Linked DNA regions of Xenopus tropicalis. The protein of the gene in region 2 interacts with the protein of the main gene of each other region in a pairwise test. Links are inferred from orthologs where the notes say so. Each region holds a gene or a part of one and is shown on either strand. Other genes may lie near its edges. The genes, in order: pbx3, pknox1, pbx2 and nup58.

The links.
Region 1: the proteins of pknox1 (region 2) and pbx3 interact in a two-hybrid assay, tested with the Homo sapiens proteins (2 studies listed by BioGRID and IntAct). The link is inferred for Xenopus tropicalis from reciprocal best matches to the Homo sapiens genes PKNOX1 and PBX3.
Region 3: the proteins of pknox1 (region 2) and pbx2 interact in binary tests that used the Homo sapiens proteins (3 or more experiments, as listed by UniProt). The link is inferred for Xenopus tropicalis from reciprocal best matches to the Homo sapiens genes PKNOX1 and PBX2.
Region 4: the proteins of pknox1 (region 2) and nup58 interact in binary tests that used the Homo sapiens proteins (3 or more experiments, as listed by UniProt). The link is inferred for Xenopus tropicalis from reciprocal best matches to the Homo sapiens genes PKNOX1 and NUP58.

What each region holds. Positions count from the first base shown.
Region 1 is NC_030684.2:27,662,323-27,668,052, forward strand, and holds the start of pbx3 (pre-B-cell leukemia transcription factor 3), read right to left. Parts: upstream 3,219-5,730; 5' UTR 3,074-3,218; intron 3,020-3,073; exon of another isoform or gene 2,391-3,019; 5' UTR 1,404-2,390; coding exon 1,207-1,403; intron 1-1,206. UniProt on the Homo sapiens protein: Transcriptional activator that binds the sequence 5'-ATCAATCAA-3'.
Region 2 is NC_030678.2:316,030-321,812, forward strand, and holds the start of pknox1 (homeobox protein PKNOX1), read right to left. Parts: upstream 3,378-5,783; 5' UTR 3,272-3,377; intron 1-3,271. UniProt on the Homo sapiens protein: Activates transcription in the presence of PBX1A and HOXA1.
Region 3 is NC_030684.2:73,505,681-73,511,364, reverse strand, and holds the start of pbx2 (pre-B-cell leukemia transcription factor 2), read right to left. Parts: upstream 3,517-5,684; 5' UTR 3,064-3,516; coding exon 2,861-3,063; intron 1-2,860. UniProt on the Homo sapiens protein: Transcriptional activator that binds the sequence 5'-ATCAATCAA-3'. Activates transcription of PF4 in complex with MEIS1.
Region 4 is NC_030678.2:156,327,341-156,332,325, forward strand, and holds part of nup58 (nucleoporin p58/p45), read right to left. Parts: intron 4,373-4,985; coding exon 4,307-4,372; intron 3,868-4,306; coding exon 3,693-3,867; intron 3,423-3,692; coding exon 3,343-3,422; intron 2,111-3,342; coding exon 1,992-2,110; intron 1,231-1,991; coding exon 1,148-1,230; intron 577-1,147; coding exon 352-576; 3' UTR 1-351. UniProt on the Homo sapiens protein: Component of the nuclear pore complex, a complex required for the trafficking across the nuclear membrane.

The DNA.
Region 1 (5,730 bases), on a different chromosome or scaffold from region 2:
ATCAGCCCTATCAAAAACAGTTGATAGATTGCCATATGCAGGCTATTAATTGCCATCAACATTTTTCAGTTTGGGGGAACTAAGTCACACCTGCTACAGTTGCAAAAACTGATTGACACTTTGGATGCGGTGCTTTTACTATGAAGGGTTTACAATATTTAATGTTTACTCACATGTCAAATTAGCTTGCTATTATTCAAAATATAAATCAGTCCTTGTCTGCAACAAGCTGCTTCTAGCCACATCTAGTGATTTATTAAAAAGAGCTAACTTTATCACAGCTATACATTTTCTGCACTTGATTTTTTACAGTTCTCCTAATTATATCATAAAATATCCATCAGATGCATGCAAAAAAACCACAATATTTATTTGTAAATATATGTGAGGAAATGGGGAATGTATTCACAAAATTAATGTACACTGTACTCATAACATCAAATCTCAATATATATATATATATATATATATATATATATATATATATATAGATATATACCCCCACACACATATTGTCAGGAACTAAGCAGCAGTTGGGTAGCAATTAATGACTACATAAACATTTTCCTTGATGTGCGTGTCCATATATACACATACACATGCCAATTTATAACACTCCCCCTAAAAGGCGCTTGAAAAGAAATATTTACGTGGCCCTGGAAGTAGATCTATAATTAATAGACAATATATGGATTAGAACCAGAAAATGGTATGCCTTTTTTTGTTGAGAAATGAATAAACCTAAAGAGGCATTTATAGGAAACACTCTGTTAATACATAGGCCAGTAAAAGACTAGTAATTTCCATCATAACCACATTTATTTATAATGATTGTTTTTCCCCCATATATAGGGACAGTGTCAACCCCACTGGCAGAAAGAGAAAGGACTGGAGGGGTCCTGGAAGCTACATTTACAAGCACCAGGGGAGAATCTCTACATACAAATAAACAAGAGCCTGGTTATAGCTGCGAGCTGTGTTTATATCAGTTTGCTAGCGTGGGCATCATCTCACCCCCATGCAAGCAGCTTCGAGCAGCATCTCAGACACTGCTCATCGCTACCCAAACATGTGCTGGTTTATTTGACAAACAGCTTGTAAGAAGTTGTTCACTCCAAGATGAACTGGAGTGATGTGCTGCTGTGATGTGTTGGGAGGGAAAGGGGTGATGTGTGTGTGTGTGTTTTTATTGCAGTGGAAACCAACTTTGCTTGTGCCTCATCCAAGCTTTGATCAGTTATGGTCATAATCTGGTGCAGGATGTCTCCAATGTCCTGCTTCCTGCCGTCACCATCTCCCCCATCGTGACCATGGGGAGGAGGTAAAGTCATTCCCCCTTGAACCGAGTGGCCAGCCATGGCCACCCCAGCCAAAGTCTGCATCATCCTGGTCTGTTCGTCCATACTCTTCTCCGCAGCCTAATCAATGACAACACAGACTGCAAGGAGACCTCACAGCCAGTGATAGCACCGCTGTGGGGTTACTGCCCCACACATCAACAACGTCAACCGTCAGAATCCAACCAGATACCCAGTCTCTATGGACAGAGCAGTTTTAAATCAAGGTCTGTGATAGTATTTCATCCCACCAATGTAAATACCATCCAAATATCAGAACCACAACATGTAGGGTTTCATAAAAATGTATTACAGGTGCGATCGCCTTCAGCAGCTAAAATCTTTTTATTTTAAAAATGCTCTTTCTGAAGAGGTCAAGTTTCTTTTTTTTTTTATTCCAAGAAAACGTGGACGAGAAAAGGGGGCATATTAAAAGTTGCAAATGAAAGTCAGCATCTTCTTCTGTCTGTATTTTAATCTTCAGGTAATGACAGGTCAGTCAGAGTTTACTCCAAAATGACGGCACACACAGCAGAGGCATGATTTGTGTTTACTCCTTTCACATAGTGTTAAGTTTTCAATAGAATAACAAGTGAGCACCTGGTTCTGAGTTCTTGAAGTATTACGAGCTGCTGTAAATTCAGTCTTTATTTCAATTCTTTTCAATTCCAACAATGCATTCCAAATGAGGAAAATAAATCTGCTACAAAGATGTTCAAATGTAGCACAAACCTCTACGTCACTATAAGTACTAGTGACACATGTTCCTTCACAGCAGTTCCAGTCGTGTTTTATTATTAAAAAAAAAAAAAAAATCAAGTTTCTATTCGGTGCTTATCCCATCCATGCATTTTGGCCAGCATAGAAATGAATTACATTCAGACTATTTTGATGAAAAGATCAACGCGTTTTCAGCAATGTCCACGATGGTCATTTATTGATCCCTTTTGATTTTTTTTTTTGATTTCGGACCAGGGTTTTCCAGTCAATCCTTCATCCACTTCTCTGAGCGAGCGCTGCCAATCTCCGGCTGCTCCGGTAGTATTCTCCTTTCTAAGAGAAATAAATAAATCAGTGACTGATGGTAGCTCCTTTGCAGGGTCGTGTCCAACATCAAATCAGTAGTAAAAAAAAAAAATAAATAAAAGAAAACTACAAAATTAAATATTTGTATAGAAAATCTAAATGAAAGTTGTGCCCAGGGGTGGGGGGAGAAGAAGCAGCAGCAGCTTGAGCTATTAATGGGAGTAATAAGATAGAAATGGTTAAGGTGCCCGGTGTGGGGAAGATGATGATGATGATGATGGTGGCTCAGAGCAGCAATCAAAAAAAGTTTTTTTTCCCCTTCTCGGCGGCGGCGGCGGCTAAGGGGAGCTGAGGGGAAGAGATGGATGGAGGGGCCGGTGCCGGGACTCCCGGGCGGGATTTATGGCTGCTTCCCCCGCTATTTCGCTCTTGCCGGCTCCGGTGACGGATTGACAGGCTGCCAACGCCACTCACTCACTGCGGACGTGTCAGACTTTGAAGGAGGGGAGGAAATAAAAAGGGAGACAAAATATAAATAATGGAGGTAGGCTCCTCCTCCCCGTGTGCGGGGCCCCGAGAAAGGAAAGGGGGAGGGGCAAAGGGCGGCGCTATTGTCGCTTCTCCCCACTCTCCTTCTATCCCCCGCCCGCTCCCCACTCGCCTCGGAGAAATGGCGCGGGTTTGGCGGTTGCTAGGGCGCTGCGACGCACCTTTGCCGCCGTTGCTATGCGAGGTGTGACAGGTAACCAATGGCCTGTCTGAACTTTGCTCTTCTTCCTATCATCGTTAGCCGGTGAAGGTGAGAGCAAGGTAGGTTGCCGCCGCGTAGTGTTCCCGCCGGTCCAAACACTTTATGATTCGTGAATTGGAATGTTCATACTCATACGGTCATTTTTCTTTAGTGGGCGGGGATTGGGCGGCTGGTCCTCCTCTGGTTTCCATGGCAGCGGGCAGGGCGGGAGATTGAGGGATGCTGCGAGTGAGGAGAAAGGGCAGCATCAGCTCCGCTCTCGTTGCTTCTCAGTGAGGAAAGTGGCTGCCCAACTCGGGTAAAAGTTGTCGTTGAACAGGGTTTTTGGAGTTTAGTTAAGCGTGAGTATCCTGCAGGCCCACCTGGTATGAAGGATATATAAACAACATGTTACCTGGTTATGTTGCATAATGTTATTTTTTTTTCAAACAAAACAAGGTATAAATGGTGAGAGAAGGAAGAGAGTAGTAGAAAAGCTTACATTTTATGCTCTCATTGGAACTAATAAGGCTGCTTAGGCACTTACATTGGTAGGTCTCAAGTATCTCCTATCTAGGCAGGGGGTCCCCCCCCAATGTCCAACCATGGCTGCCATATTTTGGCCAACTTTGCTGGACATCGTCTGGCTAGTTATGTCAGTTTTAGCCGCTGCAATTACCATTGGCTCCAAAACTCAACCCAGGCTAATGGTAAGGTAGTGTTGAACATAGGGCTGGGCGATATACCGTTTAATACCGAATACCGGTGTTGTTTTTTTTAAACTATATTCATTTTTCAGATACCGCAATACCGGGGTGTCAGGGTACTCACCCGTGCGGCCCGTTGTCTGCGGGACATTGCGCACAGGCGTCCAGGTGCGCGTGCGTCAAAGCGCACGTACATATCAAAGCGTGCACGTCCATGATGCGCTGATGGCGCCGGTCCTGCGCATGCGTGGGGGATATTTAAAGCTATCAAACTCCTCCTCCTGTGCTATGTTGTCTGCGGCCTTGCCTGGGAAACTAAGCCTGCCTGATTTACCTTACGACTTTCTGTTGCCGATCCTTCGCTTGCCTGACTCTGATTTTCAATACTGCAGTAATTATTCTCTAATTTATTAGGAAATGGGGTTAACACCTAATCATGCATGGAAAAAAAAAATACCGTCAAATACCGTGACACCGATATAATTTTGAAAAATGTTTGGTCATACCGCCCAGCCCTAGTTGAACAACAGAATTGTAAGCAAGTTGCCTGCATGTATAGGTGGCTATATTGAACCCTATCCAGTAGTTTGCTTTTCCACATTGGTAGATGAAAGTTAATGAGGTACCCCAGCGAAAAGTATTTTTGAGCAATAAGGCTAGTCACATAGGGTTTATTGGGCCCAGACCATTGGAGGGGGGGTGGAGCCTTGTACCCTGCTTGCTTGCTCCAATGAAAATACCATCCCCCTCATTCACGCACAGGGCCCTCAGGCCTGCTCACTTGCACCCAAGGCACATGCCTCTGCTGCCTTCCACTAGTTGTGGCCCTTCCCCTGCAGCTGATTCAGTCAAACACTGAAGAGTGGTGTAAACGTGTGCCCAGATCTAGAATTCAGTGACCTACCAAATGGGAGTTTAGGGGGCTAATTAAATTTTAGATATGACAAAAGAAAATAAAACAGCTTTTTTTCATCAAAAACATGATGCACTTCTTAGTGGTCCATCCCTTACCCATTAACATAGTGACATATATACAGTATAAAAACATTGTACAAGCTATTACTCCAGATATCACACTGACCGGCCATACAGGCTTCCAGGAGTATGTAGGACAGTATTTAACACATATAACTTAACTAACCCAAAATGGCCTTCAACCCTGTTACCCCAGTCATTGGGTCATTCTAGTCTAGGGCAATGGTCTTTTTCAGTTCAAACCCTCTAGTGAATTTCTAAGTTCATAACTTTGTTGTTAGTGAACATTATGAAATCAGGAATCTGCCATGAACACCCAAGGTGGCTATACATTGTCTGATCAGGAATGTTCACAACTGATCAGATAGAGTTCAGCTCACACAGAGTGCGTCAAAGGGGACATCCACTCCATGGCTGCCTTTCTGTTGTTTCAATCATTTGGGTAGACAACCCAATGATCACAACAGCAGGAAGTGAAGCAACTGCAGTACTTCTCCACTTGCTCATCTGCTGTTGCACCATGCGGTGACTGCATTAGTGTAATAATAGAGGAAACAGACCCTGCAGCCACGGAAGGTCCGTGGAACAGGGGGACCCAAACCGTGGGGCCTGCTTCCTCTATTGTTGCATATAAATCCCTGCTGGCTCTCAGGTAGGTGGGTGGGGGGGGTGGACACCTGCGGGTGGGGGAAAGGAGCCTGGAAAGGTTTGCTACTCTGCGCTGAGCCCCTTCAAAGATTTTTTTTGGGGGGTGCAGCACAGTGTAGTTACTCCACTGGCTGGCTGGCATGCTGTATTGGCAGATGAAGTTTTCAAACCTGCCAGATCTGTGAACCAACATATATCCACAGTACATGGATATTGGAAATCATCTGAAACGGATTTTTCCGATTATGAGCGTGTATGGCCAGCTTTATTTAAGGAGAATTATTTGTGTTCTAAGATGCAAGTTGTA
Region 2 (5,783 bases):
AGAAAAAAATTGAAGCAGACAACTAGAACTGAGTTTCTATGGTAACCAGCAAATGCCATCTCATCATTGGCTGCTAGGCTGGGGGGGGTGTTTAGTAATCTGAGCTTAGAACAACTGAGCATGCCCACAAGCCAGAAGTCATAGCAAATTCCTGAGGGGGGGGCGAGTGGGTTACAGGAAGAGAAGGAAATCTAAGTGATTAAGGGGATGTTGCAGCCTTTCTATTAACCTCTGGGCACCCAGTGGGGCAGGTATTGAAAGATTTCAAGGAGGCTTTTCACTGTTAAAATATTTGTGTGTGGGGGGTTTACATGTTCTTTAAACTCCACCCTCTATTGTACATTGGGGGGGGGAGAACTCTCTGTCCCATCCCTGAGACCCCTCAGGCTGAACCCGAGTTTCTCCCAAAAGGAAAGTAAAGAACATTCTATGACTGGGTTTCTCATGGTCAAAGGACCCACTGTGTGTCCTAAAATAATAGTTGATCCCTACTCAGCAGGTCCGGTTACCTTAGGCCTATCCCTACTCAGCGGGTTTGGTTACCTTAGGCCTATCCCTACTCAGCAGGTCCGGTTACCTTAGGCCTATCCCTACTCAGCGGGTCCGGTTACCTTAGGCCTATCCCTACTCAGCAGGCCCGGTTACCTTAGGCCTATCCCTACTCAGCAGGTCCGGTTACCTTAGGCCTATCCCTACTCAGCGGGTCCGGTTACCTTATGCCTATACCTACTCAGCAGGCCCGGTTACCTTAGGCCTATCCCTACTCAGCGGGTCCGGTTACCTTAGGCCTATCCCTACTCAGCGGGTCCGGTTACCTTAGGCCTATCCCTACTCAGCAGGCCCGGTTACCTTAGGCCTATCCCTACTCAGCAGGTCCGGTTACCTTAGGCCTATCCCTACTCAGCGGGTCCGGTTACCTTATGCCTATACCTACTCAGCAGGCCCGGTTACCTTAGGCCTATCAATACTCAGCAGGTCCGGTTACCTTAGGCCTATCCCTACTCAGCAGGTCCGGTTACCTTAGGCCTATCCCTACTCAGCGGGTCCGGTTACCTTAGGCCTATCCCTACTCAGCAGGCCCGGTTACCTTAGGCCTATCCCTACTCAGCAGGTCCGGTTACCTTAGGCCTATCCCTACTCAGCGGGTCCGGTTACCTTATGCCTATACCTACTCAGCAGGCCCGGTTACCTTAGGCCTATCAATACTCAGCAGGTCCGGTTACCTTAGGCCCATCCCTACTCAGCAGGTCCGGTTACCTTAGGCCTATCCCTACTCAGCAGGCCCAGTTACCTTAGGCCTATCCCTACTCAGCAGGCCCAGTTACCTTAGGCCTATCCCTACTCAGCAGGTCCGGTTACCTTAGGCCTATCCCTACTCAGCAGGTCCGGTTACCTTAGGCCTATCCCTACTCAGCAGGCCCGGTTACCTTAGGCCTATCCCTACTCAGCGGGTCCGGTTACCTTAGGCCTATCCCTACTCAGCAGGTCCGGTTACCTTAGGCCTATCCCTACTCAGCGGGTTTGGTTACCTTAGGCCTATCCCTACTCAGCAGGTCCGGTTACCTTAGGCCTATCCCTACTCAGCGGGTCCGGTTACCTTATGCCTATACCTACTCAGCAGGCCCGGTTACCTTAGGCCTATCAATACTCAGCAGGTCCGGTTACCTTAGGCCCATCCCTACTCAGCAGGTCCGGTTACCTTAGGCCTATCCCTACTCAGCAGGTCCGGTTACCTTAGGCCTATCCCTACTCAGCAGGTCCGGTTACCTTAGGCCTATCCCTACTCAGTGGGTTTGGTTACCTTAGGCCTATCCCTACTCAGCGGGCCCGGTTACCTTAGGCCTATCCCTACTCAGCGGGTCCGGTTACCTTAGGCCTATACCTACTCAGCAGGTCCGGTTACCTTAGGCCTATCAATACTCAGCAGGTCCGGTTACCTTAGGCCCATCCCTACTCAGCAGGTCCGGTTACCTTAGGCCTATCCCTACTCAGTGGGTTTGGTTACCTTAGGCCTATCCCTACTCAGCAGGTCCGGTTACCTTAGGCCTATCCCTACTCAGCGGGTCCGGTTACCTTAGGCCTATCCCTACTCAGCGGGTCCGGTTACCTTAGGCCTATCCCTACTCAGCGGGTCCGGTTACCTTAGGCCTATCCCTACTCAGCGGGTCCGGTTACCTTAGGCCTATCCCTACTCAGCAGGTCCGGTTACCTTAGGCCTATCCCTACTCAGCGGGTCCGGTTACCTTAGGCCTATGAGTAGGGTCAGCAGGTCCGGTTAATACCCAGCTAATCGGGGAATGTACCAGGTGTCGCTGAACCCCACAAAACTGTGGCCCCAGGAATCCCATTTTACAAGTGGAACTGAGTGGGGAAACTAGGACAGACAACCTTTAGTGTGAGGAATAAAATGGGCAGAAATTAATATATTTGGTTTATGAAAATGTGGATTTTTAAATTATGTGTAAAAAGTGGACTTTTACCTCTGTCCTCTCCAACAGAACTGGGGGCTTCCCCACCGCTGTCCCTCAGGCCTAGTCTGTCTATACCCCCATACATGTGGCCCCACTCTGTCTATATATGGGCCCCCCCATACACACACTATACCCCCATACATGTGGCCCCACTCTGTCTATATATGGGCCCCCCCATACACACACTATACCCCCCTGTGTATATATGGGCCCTGTATATTTGGGCCCCACCATAGCCTACTGGTAGCCCCCCCCACACACAGGGCCCAATGTTGCCCCATACAGCCCATGAATGTCTCTCAGACTGACACAGGGCCCCACACACCAACATGTCACTGTGTACATATGGCCCAACATATATATATCATCCCTCAGTACTGTGCCCCTCCCTTCAGCACTACCCACTCACAGATTGAGCCCCCATACCCCGCCCCCAGCAGCTGGCCCCTCCCCGCGCGTTCCCTACATTCCCTTCCCTCCCCAGTAACAGTTCCCGCTCAGCGCCGATTGGCCGATAGAGAAAGAGCCGGGCGCGGATAGGCTGCTCAGCCCATGTGACTACAGACAGGGGTGTGCGCGCACAGGCGGGGGGGAGGATGAGGGAGGGTCCGGCGGCGCGCAGTGCAGGAGAGCGGGTGGGTGCGGGGGCGCGCACAGCGGAAAGGGGGCAGCCTGGCGGTGTCGGTAGGGCCCAGTGGGGCTGGGAGGGGCGCTAGCGGTGCCCACAGGGGGCGCGGCGGCTGCCGGGAAGCAGCGGGAGTAGAGCGGGCGGGCGGGCGGCGCTGTGACTGACACATTACCCGCTGCCAATCTTCGTCACACTGACAAGCGGCTGCAGCAATCGGGACCCGCAGGGGCGCCTACGTCATCACGTACCACGCCGCTTATTACCATGCCGCCCTTTAGCGCCACACGTATGTACGCACCGACCGCCCACTTCTGAGTATTACTCTCATTGGCCCCGCCCTGCGGGTTCTACTGAGGCCCACTTTGCGCCAGTGTGGGAAAGCGAGGCGGGAAAGTGCCCCCTGTGCCCAGCGACTTTGCGCCAGTGTGGGAAAGGGAGGCGGGAAAGTGCCCCCTGTGCCCAGCGACTTTGCGCCAGTGTGGGAAAGCGAGGCGGGAAAGTGCCCCCTGTGCCCAGCGACTTTGCGCCAGTGTGGGAAAGCGAGGCGGGAAAGTGCCCCCTGTGCCCAGCGACTTTGCGCCAGTGTGGGAAAGCGAGGCGGGAAAGTGCCCCCTGTGCCCAGCGACTTTGCGCCAGTGTGGGAAAGCGAGGCGGGAAAGTGCCCCCTGTGCCCAGCGACTTTGCGCCAGTGTGGGAAAGGGAGGCGGGAAAGTGCCCCCTGTGCCCAGCGACTTTGCGCCAGTGTGGGAAAGGGAGGCGGGAAAGTGCCCCCTGTGCCCAGCGACTTTGCGCCAGTGTGGGAAAGCGAGGCGGGAAAGTGCCCCCTGTGCCCAGCGACTTTGCGCCAGTGTGGGAAAGGGAGGCGGGAAAGTGCCCCCTGTGCCCAGCGACTTTGCGCCAGTGTGGGAAAGCGAGGCGGGAAAGTGCCCCCTGTGCCCAGCGACTTTGCGCCAGTGTGGGAAAGGGAGGCGGGAAAGTGCCCTCTGTGCCCAGCGACTTTGCGCCAGTGTGGGAAAGTGCCCCCTGTGCCCAGCGACTTTGCGCCAGTGTGGGAAAGCGAGGCGGGAAAGTGCCCCCTGTGCCCAGCGACTTTGCGCCAGTGTGGGAAAGCGAGGCAGGAAAGTGCCCCCTGTGCCCAGCGACTTTGCGCCAGTGTGGGAAAGCGAGGCGGGAAAGTGCCCCCTGTGCCCAGCGACTTTGCGCCAGTGTGGGAAAGGGAGGCGGGAAAGTGCCCCCTGTGCCCAGCGACTTTGCGCCAGTGTGGGAAAGGGAGGCGGGAAAGTGCCCCCTGTGCCCAGCGACTTTGCGCCAGTGTGGGAAAGGGAGGCGGGAAAGTGCCCCCTGTGCCCAGCGACTTTGCGCCAGTGTGGGAAAGGGAGGCGGGAAAGTGCCCTTCTGTGCCCAGCGACTTTGCGCCAGTGTGGGAAAGCGAGGCAGGAAAGTGCCCCCTGTGCCCAGCGACTTTGCGCCAGTGTGGGAAAGGGAGGCGGGAAAGTGCCCCCTGTGCCCAGCGACTTTGCGCCAGTGTGGGAAAGGGAGGCGGGAAAGTGCCCTTCTGTGCCCAGCGACTTTGCGCCAGTGTGGGAAAGCGAGGCGGGAAAGTGCCCTCTGTGCCCAGCGACTTTGCGCCAGTGTGGGAAAGGGAGGCGGGAAAGTGCCCCCTGTGCCCAGCGACTTTGCGCCAGTGTGGGAAAGCGAGGCAGGAAAGTGCCCCCTGTGCCCAGCGACTTTGCGCCAGTGTGGGAAAGGGAGGCGGGAAAGTGCCCCCTGTGCCCAGCGACTTTGCGCCAGTGTGGGAAAGCGAGGCGGGAAAGTGCCCCCTGTGCCCAGCGACTTTGCGCCAGTGTGGGAAAGGGAGGCGGGAAAGTGCCCCCTGTGCCCAGCGACTTTGCGCCAGTGTGGGAAAGGGAGGCGGGAAAGTGCCCTTCTGTGCCCAGCGACTTTGCGCCAGTGTGGGAAAGCGAGGCGGGAAAGTGCCCTCTGTGCCCAGCGACTTTGCGCCAGTGTGGGAAAGCGAGGCGGGAAAGTGCCCTCTGTGCCCAGCGACTTTGCGCCAGTGTGGGAAAGGGAGGCGGGAAAGTGCCCCCTGTGCCCAGCGACTTTGCGCCAGTGTGGGAAAGGGAGGCGGGAAAGTGCCCTCTGTGCCCAGCGACTTTGCACCAGTGTGGGAAAGGGAGGCGGGAAAGTGCCCCCTGTGCCCAGCGACTTTGCGCCAGTGTGGGAAAGGGAGGCGGGAAAGTGCCCTTCTGTGCCCAGCGACTTTGCGCCAGTGTGGGAAAGCGAGGCGGGAAAGTGCCCCATGTGCCCAGCGACTTTGCGCCAGTGTGGGAAAGCGAGGCGGGAAAGTGCCCCCATGTGCCCAGCGACTTTGCGCCAGTGTGGGAAAGCGAGGCGGGAAAGTGCCCCATGTGCCCAGCGACTTTGCGCCAGTGTGGGAAAGCGAGGCGGGAAAGTGCCCCATGTGCCCAGCGACTTTGCGCCAGTGTGGGAAAGCGAGGCGGGAAAGTGCCCCTCTGTGCCCAGCGACTTTGCGCCAGTGTGGGAAAGGGAGGCGGGAAAGTGCCCTTCTGTGCCCAGCGACTTTGCACCAGTGTGGGAAAGCGAGGCGGGAAAGTGCCCCATGTGCCCAGCGACTTTGCGCCAGTGTGGGAAAGCGAGGCGGGAAAGTGCCCCATGTGCCCAGC
Region 3 (5,684 bases), on a different chromosome or scaffold from region 2:
GTAGCTCAGCTAAAACAAGAGTATTTCCTTGACAAGTGACTTTGGGAACCAGTAGGATATTGTATCCACCCCTCTTTAACTAAGCATAAACTAGAAGAACAAATATGATACAATTGTAACAATCTTACACAGTATAAAAAAAAAAGAAGTCCTTTTATGTATTTATACTTTCTTCAAACGAATAGAGGATTACATCCTCAGCTGAGACATTTTATACATAAATTATTAGAACAGATAACCTATACATAAGCGCCAATGATGCTCTTTTGTGGGGAATGCATGTATAAAGGTAATTATTAATAAAACGGATATTTTGTGCACAAACAACAAGCTAGGGCACCATGCATTTTCCTCTCCTTCAAGGGAAAAATTCATAGAATACATTAACAAAAAAGCCAGACTATTCTATATTAGAAATATCAGCTATGGTAAATGTGTGAGTTATTCACTGAGAGGCAATATTTAAAAAGTCTGATATAACAAATATTTTTTCATTTTCCAAGGGAATTAATTGGATTAGCATGACTGTACCATTAGATAAAATGCACCTTCTCAAAATAAATATCCATACAATTGTACATTTATGGGCTGCCAGAGGTAAATACCAGAATAGCAAGATTGATGCATGAAGAAAAGCAAATTGTAGGGCCTTTGAACTTTTCTATTTTCATAGGGAAATAAGATGAAATTACACCCAGTAAGACTGCAGCATACAGTGCTATTAGAATCACAAAAGCCTTAAAAGCACATCACAGATTATAACAAAAGCCTGTGTTTTCCCTAATCGTGTAATGTCAACAAGATCAACTAAAAGCCAGGCAATCTGTAGACTTAGCCTTTTGCAGTGCAAAGGACTCAATTATTGACTTGTATTATACTTAGAAAGTACAATTACACAGAGTAGCTTAATAGTAATAAACATAGCTGTGGTTACGAGTAATGGAAGTGCAAGGCCTAGTGAGCAGCATGGGATAAATGACATCATTCTGGTTGTGTTATGAGCTAATCAATGTTCTTATTAAGATGCAGTTTATAGGGTAGATTAAGTGCAGTGATTATGATGTGTATTTATAAGGAATGTAGTAGTAGTGCAGAAAGGAAGGTATGAGGTGTTCTTATGAATTCTGGTAGCAGACAAAGGAGTTTATTTAACCAGTGCTGTTCCAGAAAGGCCCTATTGCTTTGCAGCTGCTCTAAAGTTAACAGTTTGGGAATCCAGCACATTGCAGAGCCTATCCAAATGCACATGGCGAAAATAAAGAATCCATGTTGCAAAGGTTACAGTTAATTTTATAGAGCACTAACCTTAAATAAGCATTAGGTTGCTAGAATTGTTTTTATATACGCGGGATAAGTAACAAAAGCATAGCATATTACAGTGACTGATAGTACACAAACCATGAGTGGCTGCATATGTTTAGGCCTACCCTACACAGCAGTACAGCAAAACTCTGGTTCTGTTTAGGGTACAATAATGGGTCAATGTTTGTCCCTATGATCCACTTGGATACACTGAAGATTCTTACAACTGTCATGAAAAGATACTGAATTTGGTTTCTGTCGAAGAAGGTTAAAGAAATTTAATTAAACAAAGAAGGAACATGTGGACATGAAGCTTTGTTCACAAGGGCTTAAATTCTAAAAAAAATAATTATTAATTTCCCATTGACTCTGTACATATATTTGTATGACCAGGGTATATATTTGTGTGTCATCTATTTTTACAGCACAGTGGTACACAAATATCATACAAGACCCTTACAATATATCTACAGTAAAGGACCACATAATGAATTAATTGGGACTGAGGGTTCTGTTCCCCCTGATTGTCCAATGGAAAGAGTAACTGTTGCTGCTAAAGTAAGAGGATACATTTTTGAGAAAGTTAGGAGGCAGACATACTTGTTTAACAAGGGGAGGAGCTTGAAGATAAACATACAGATAAACACACACACATATCTATCTATAGTAACTATGTTACTATGTTATACATCTAATATATGTATTTATCATATATCCAGGAAAAAGATTTAGTAGCCCTGGCAAAGGAAATCCTTAGATGTCAACCCTACAGCTGCAGCTTACACAGAATGTTTAGAATCGTGCATTTGGTTACATTATTACATGTCACTTTTCCGCTAAGCAATGGCAAGGCATAAATGATACAATATAACTTATGTTTGTGCTGTACTAAGGAAGCAAAAATGTAAATGGCTTTTACTCTTACAGCACGAACAGATGTTGCTTGGGCCTAACAGCATCACAAAGGGGATTTAAGGGATTTCTAAACACTGAGTTTTAAAAACAAATCAGCAGGAAGTGTGTATAAAGCTTACACTTATAACATTACTTGAGTTTTCCATACAGATTTAGAATATCCACTTTATACAGGATTAAGTATAAGGTTATTGTACAAAATTCACTAAAATGTATTTTGGTTGAACTACAACTCACTGAAACCCCAACAGCTGGGGGAAAACAACACCTGGAGGGCTTTAGCATGGTCGTAGGTTTATTTCTATGGGTACCAGAACCCCTAAGTACTTCTGTATGGCATGATTCCCAACATTGCTTTAACTGGACTACAACTCCCAGCATCCTCCAGGGACCACTCAAAAGCTAAAGGATACCGGGCATTAAGTTTGGAAGTGAAAGGCTTGGAAACTGTGCTGTGTAGGGAGCTGCTGGGCCTGTTTTAGTGGAAAGAAGGATTCGGCGTCGGGTAATGGGCTTCCTGAGCAGGGATTGGTGGACAGAGGGGAAAACCCACAATTGCAGGCTACCATACACACGGAGCAGGCTACTATACACACAAAGGCCTCTCCAGCACCTAACGTTACCCCCTCCCTCTTGTACTCACTTTGCCTGGGCTTCATCAAGGCTCTGGTCCGTGATAGTCATGATCTGTTGCAATATGTCACCGATATCCTGTTTCCTGGGCTCCCCATTGTCTGCCGGGGGTTCATGCATAGGATGAGGAGTGAGAGTTTGGGGCCCCCCATGAATGGGGTGTCCTGGAATCCCCACCCCCCTGGCCTGCATCAGCCTGCCTTGTTCATCCATCTGAGCACCAGCGAGGGATCGCTCTCCTGTTTTTATGTGTGTTTCTCACTTGTCCCCTCAGCTCTGTCTCCTTGTACAACTCCCCCTGCCCTTCATAGAACTCTCCTCCTGCCCCGAGTAGTCCCGTCCTGCTCTACTGATCGCTCTGTGCTTCCACCATGCGATTTGCTCGGAAGGAATTCGCCTCCTCTCCCAGCAGCGCCTACGAAGCCCCGACTGTAGGCAGTGTATACAGATCGCGCCCAGGCTTCCTTTCTCCTCAAGTGGCTCCTCCGATAGATCGCTCCGTGTTGCACTGTCCGACGCGCCTGGGCGGCTAAATCGCTAAGACTCGGACAGCTCAGTCCGGATGATTTTTGGGGTGGGGTGCAATCCTGCTTCGCTTTTTTCTGGGATCCCTAAAAAAAGCCAGTAGCGCTGTATTGAAGCTGGGAAAAGAGGAGTGTAAAATGGTGAATAGCTAGGGAGGGGGAGGGAAAGGGAAGGAGGAGAGAGGGAGGAGGGAGGAATGTGCTTGTCCTGCCTCTCCCCTTTCCTAGGGAATCACAGCTCACTGCTGCCCCCTCTCGGCAGCTCCCTAATGCTTTACTTGCTGCGCCGGTCTGCGCCCTACTGCACTCTGGCCCTTTAGATGTTTCTAAACTACAACTCTCACAAAGCTTTTTCAGGCTCAACGTCGACTCCATTGCTGCCTACTAGTGTTTCCTGCCCTATTTACAGTAATGATACTCGCAATATCCATCGCAAGGTCGTTGTCCAGTGAAGTTTTAATCGAACGCTTTAAACGCAGAAATGTCAAATAAATGTTTGCATTATTTAATGCTCCCCAGTTATGTGACTTGACCTTATTTATGACTATTTACTCTATTCATATTCCTCCATAAGACTATTCATAGTTCACAGTGTAATGTGAATTTTACCCAGCATGCATAGCAGTTGCTTATACGTGTGCCACAAGAAGCCTTCCTGGCTTGACTTATTTTCCTGTGGGTATGGATCAGTGGATGTAAGGTAGTTCCAGAGGCATAGCGGATAATGCGCCATCTGACTTGACTTCCTAAGTCACTGGTCCCCAACCAGTGGTCAATTGCCTGCGGTATCATGGGCGGCTAACTCCCTCTGTGGAACATTAGCCTAAGGACAGTGGCACACAGGGAGATTAGTTGCCCACAATAAATCTTTACTTTTGCGGGCGACTAATCTCCCCAACATGCCATCCCACCAGCAAGAATGTAAATCGCCGGTGGGATGGCATATGCATCGCTTCGGTTGCTCGAAGTTGCTTTGCAAGGAAACTTCGGGTGACTTCGGAAAACGTAAATGACACGTTTGTCATACCGAAGTTTCCTTGCGAGGCAAATGGTGAAGACACACAGAGCTATTTAGTAGCAGCTACTTTTCACGGCTACTAAACACCAGAAAATACACTGCCATAGACAATACCAAGAATTGCCTCTGCTAAAACACACGTAAAGAAAATTATCAGTAAATGATCAGCATTGTCTATTTCTGTAGCCATGACAAGTAGCTGCTACTAGTAGCTCCATGTGTCATGGGTTTTCACCCTAAGCTATCTTGGGTTTTCCTAGGTTGCATGAAATTATAATAAATAAGTAACCAAAACCTTAAAAAAATTGATAAGGATATTTTGGGAGCCGATGGACAGAGCCAGTGTCACTGTATTTCTACTATGTGTAGGCTTCCATCATAATTGCCAACACTTGAAATTAATTCCCAGGGAGACTTTGTTTCCTGTATGTATGACATAAATCGTGTGCATCTGTGTGTATGGGCCATATTCAGCATATATAACACATCAAATGCGCATTATCATTTTTTACACATCTACATCTTACAGAGTAAAATTAGAGATTGCAATTTCATGAGATTATAGATTACTGGTAAATACAAAATCAGTGCTGCCCAACTTCTTGCGAGTATATGTGTGTGGTAGGATGATAATATACTGTAAAATACAAAGAAATGTATGACTCCCATGGCCCCCAAGGTAGGCCAAATGCAGTCCAAATGCCTTTATCTGTATAACAAAGGGAGATTTGTCGCGGGTGACTAATCTCCCCATGTGCCATCCCACAGGCAAGAATGTAAATCGGTGGTGGGATTGGCATACAGGGCGCCGCGATTTTGCCGAAATTTCCTCTCAAGGCAACTTCCACGATTTGGGGGAAATCGTGGCGCCATCGTATGCCCTCCCATCGGCGATTTACATTCTCCCTGGTGGGATGACATTTCAAGGGAGAGATTTGTCGCAGGCGACTAGTCTCCCCGTGTGCCAAAGCCCTTACACTTCTTTCAATGGAAGTGTCAGAAGGAAAGAAAGAACTTTACAAAGAAAATGTACCAACAGTGCAGAGAAAGCTTTGTAGACTTGTGGGGTTATGTAATAAAAGGCACTAAGGCTGATGTCGAAAAAACGCTTCCCGAAAATTCCGCCCTACGCCTCCTTGTGCCTGCACCTGAATGAATGAGATACACTCTGGTGCAGGCACATGTAGCGGAAATACACACAAATAAACGCGAGAGTTTGAAAGTCTCGCATTTTATGCACATTTCGGCTACATGTGCCTGCACCCGAGCGTATTCCATTAATTCGGGTGCAG
Region 4 (4,985 bases), about 160 Mb from region 2:
TTAGATTACAGGTGCCACACCTGTATAGATTTGCAACAGTGATTTGATATAATCTCCAACCTATACCATAAAACCTTCAAAGTGCTATTGTTTTAAATATTAAAAAATAAAATGGAAACAAGCAGGTGCAATTGCTGCTTTAAGTAGAGATGAGGCAATACTATTAAAAAATGATATTGTAGTCACACATGTATCTACTTCTGAGTTATTATTGCTCAAATATAACCCCGCATATTCTAAAAGCTTTATGTAGTTAAAAAAAATAAAAATAAAATAACGAATGTTTTGTCAGCATAAGACGACCCAGTGTAAAAGTTGACAGGAGTTTACTGAGGTCAGAACAGAAGAGATCTATAACTTGAATGCATTCAGACCTGTGGTAGGCTGCTGCTGTTGCGTTAATGTTGCAGCCATGGCAACGGCAGCGGCGTTTGGTATGTTGCTGAAAGGGGTGGGTCCGGTGGTAACACGCGGTGCACTCTGCCACTTCTTCGCTTCTGCTCGCCTCGCCTCAAAGACATCTGCTGAGTCGCCCAAATATGCTTTCCGGTAGCCAAGGTACTGTTCTTTGAGCATCTGAAGGAAAGCCATTTTAGTTTGCACTGCTAAAGGCACATAATGGAAAGCAACTGGAAAGGTGGACACCATTTATAAGATCCCCTTATCTGTAAAGTCATTTCCTACAAAGTAGAAACATTGACCCTTCATACAGGCATTATTATATGTAAGTATGTTCAGATATTCAGGAGCTACATATATCTTCTGGTGCTTATATATGATTTTATATCAAAGAGACAATGCCAGCAGACCACTCAGATTTAGCTTGGAATTTTAAAAAAAATATATACATGAAAACAATAACCAAAAATTACAAAACTCAAGTCGGACCAATATGTACAATTGTGAAGGGGTGGAAGTTCTAATTATTTAACAGCTTTGCTCATTTGAAAGTGTTGGATTTAGCACTCAAGTTCTGGCTTTTATACTACGATTTAACCAGTGAAGTCAAAACAGACATTGAAATTACAAGCACTGCATTTTAGAATACTTCTTATATCCAGGTAAGTTTATGAACGTATTCAGTACATATTCTAGTTGGTATCCAATAGCGTCTCAGAACACAAGAAAAATTATCCTTATCGCTTACCTTAACATTTTCATTTACTGCCTGGAGCTGGGCAGCTAAGGCCACAAATGTTTGGTAAAGCTTCTGCATTGCCAATGACAAATCTAGCATGAAAAACACAGTACTGATTAGGAATGGCTGTGTGTGGTTGGTAATACATTACAAACACATATAAACATGAACAACATAAAATGCAACAGGTAAGAACATAAAAGAATACAAACTCGCCAGTACCTAGATTGTCTACAATGCCTTCTCCCTATAAAGTGGACTATCTTGTTGTATTCTAGTTCTAGATCATTTTAGTACTAGGTTCTATTCCAGTCAGATCGAAAACACAAAGCAGCCTAACACTTTAAAACACAGTCAGCAAACCAATAGGACGCCAGGCACACAAATGGCTATACTGTTGGATTTTGAGGATACAGGCTAAGGAACAGTCGACTATTTTTTTTTTTTTAGTATCAAAGTAGTCAGCCAGATCAGCAGGAGACAGGGGCCAGGCCTAGGTAACTGTTCTAAATTATATTACATTAAAAATTCTAAAAATGCTGCATATTATTAATTGATGTATATCGCAATTTTGCAAGCAGCTGTTCAGCGCAAATCGCATTTGAGAAAAGCACCCAGCACCCTCTTGCAATATGTTTTATACTCTTTGACCAAGAAAATGAATTGAAATGGATCTGCCTCCAATGAGTTTAAAAAGCATGACAGTTCTCCACAGTGAGTTCTTCCATTCCTGTGTGCGTCTGGAAAAAGACATTCACTTTTGTCTCTTATAAACAACACTGACATACAGGAATACAAGTTTGTAAATGCACAGATAAATAAAACAGTAACTTATGGGACTAAATCTGGTTACCTTGGGGAGACAAATGTGAACTATTTGACTGTGTTGCTAGATGATTCTCCAGTTCCTCAATTTGCTGTCTGTATTGCTGTAACTGGACCTCAAACTGTTGCACCAGTGTGTGAAAATAACTACCAAAAAAAAAATAAAAAATTAACAAAATGGTACATGCGCCACTAAAATCATTAGCTAAAACAAAGGGGAGAAGCTGTATGATGTCAGTAAAGCTGATCATGAACCAAAAGATCTGCTCGCTTGGTTGGCCAAATCCAACTGCTTGGCCTTAGGGCCAACAACTGGATCATAATAGGGGCCATTGTAAGATGGTTGGTATTTTCTGATAGATATTTTAACTGTATTTTCTCATACATATGCGATTTAACTAACAATTTGGTCTTCCTGTGTATCACCAGCTTAAGTAAGGTCATGGAACCACTGCACACAGATGAAGGAAAAGCTAAACCATTTACTGTTTGGAAAAAGAACCCTTCAAATGATGCAATCAGTGCTCTAAAGCAAATGTTAGGACTCATCTATATAGATTCATTGTCCTTTAGCGGACAATTGCAACCAGAAAAATCAGAATAAATTGCCTTAGCTAGGCAGATGGTAATTTAAAGTAAACATTCGTAACATAGCTAGAAATGAGAATTCAATTTTATACCTGGGAGGGTATAGTGGACAATGATATTAAGGTAAGCTTTGTGTCATCACCCCAAAATGAACACATTCGTGCTACACAATTATAGGAATTGATCAGGGTCGGACTGGGCCGGCGGGACAGCGAAGGGCCAGACCCGTCCCCCGGCCAACCGTTGCTCCCGACGCGTTAAACTTATGCGTGCTCAGGGGAGGACGTCAGGTGGAGGACCCTGCGGGGGTAAGAGAGGCTCAGCAGGGGGCAAGGGAGGCTCAGCAGGGCCCCTGGGATGGCAGCCCCGGTGGGCCCTGCACCCCCCAGTCCAACCCTGGAAGCGATAGAGTGGAAGTTGATAAGTGCAATGACATCTAGGAAATGTTTAAAGTTTAAGTAATTGCCCATCCTGACCTGTATGCCTGAGGCATAGAGGTGGGGCAGGCAATACATGATTGACATCTTAGATTTTTAAATACTATTATAACAGGCATGGATGTTTTAACAAAAACAATTTGAGTTTTATTTTTAATTGGAAAGGACTTATTATACATCTCTTTATTGTCTGGGTGACAGGACCCTTTTAAAACCTCAACCTTGATGCCAAGGGTTTCCAAACCTGGTGCAAACTTTGCATTTTTATTAGATTACAGGACATGTTTTTCTTTTATGTGGCTTTAAGAAAACCTCAGGTGGCACGATCCCAAATAATTGTTCAAATAAACTTACTCGGCTGGAGCAGTATTTTCATGCTGAAGTCCAGGAGGTGTTTTCTGTGTCCTTAAAGCTATTTCAGCATTCTTAAGTTCCTAAAATAAATATAGAAAACGAAAAAAAAACAAAAAACTAGAAAATATAAAACAATATGATAAAACACTTAGCAGGGTCTGTACTGTCTAGCAGTTAGAGCAGACATACTGACCTGTATACAATTCCAACCATTCTTATACCCAATGCATTACATTATTCAGTTTTATAAAATATTTGTGAGCAAGATGTTTTTTAGACTGAATATCTGACCCAGTATTTTTACTGCATTATAGAAATTTACTCTGAGCCACTGCTATCATTAAGAGTACCTGAGCTGTTTCAATTTTCAGCTTGTCAATAGCCAAGGAATTCCTTTGGAGGCCGCTGGATGCAACAGATAAAAGCTGTCTTAATGCCTTAATGTCTTCCTGTACTTTCAGCATTGCTTTGGAGGACATTCGGCTGATCTCTTCCTGGACTTGTTTCTGCTCCTTCACAAATTTCCTGTGAACCGAGAAAACAAATGTCACCAAACAAGGAATCAGTTTCCAGAGCAAAACTTTGAGAAATCAGGAACATTCAATTTTTGAAAACACTAATTAAAAAGAAAAAAAAATTAGGAACCCTGGGGGCATAAGTGCTCTGTAAGTGAGCAATAAGGGACACTTGCTTGTGCTCCAGGATATCCACCCCCCATGGATAGTGAATAATCCCTTTAGACATTAACAAAAAAACAGAATATGAACGGTTACCCACTGTGTGACTGTTTTTTTTGTTTCATGTAATAACCAACACATTGTTAATATGTTATACATGAGCCAAAAAACAATGCACTTACAAAGGAATGCATCTACGGAGAGCCATTCCATGTGGCTCTTATCTTTTGCCAGCACCTATGAATGCACCACTGATGGATTTATCAAAGTTTTCCGCCCATACTTACTGGAAATTTTCTACATCTTGACATAACAACTGAGGTAGATTGTCATCTTTAAATGCTTTGCTATCCCTGTGAAGAAAATGAGGCAATGAAAACACATAGTGTAGATTAGCTTATAAATGCACAAAGTATCAATGCTTCTGGTTTCACCTTGGTGGGGTCTAAATTTAGTAATTAATATTATATAGAAATTCTTCCAGCACCGGTGGCTTTGGGATAGAAGCACAGAACAAACAGTAATTTTATTATATGAGATATATATATATATATATATATATTATATATATACACACACACACACACACACACACACACACACACACACACACACACAGTGTAGTATTTTTGTCTTTATAAAAACCCCTCCGTGAAACGTGCTCAAATAATCGTGTTCAGTGCAAAAGAGGGAGCTTACATAAACTTTTTATAAACCAAATACATCCCTTGTTTCTTAACAGAAAAAATTAAGGAGTGCAGCAGCGATCTTGTGGAACTAAAACTCCAAAATGGATTGGAACTTTCTAAATAAAAACAATGCAAAATTCTGTACATCTCTGAAAATAATCAAGTTACTCTGTCTCTCTTCATTCCCTTTTTATGCAGAAGTCTGGGTCATATTTTGATTTTGGCAGGTAGGTTTAATACATCTTTTATTATTTTGGCAGGTAGGTTTAATACACTC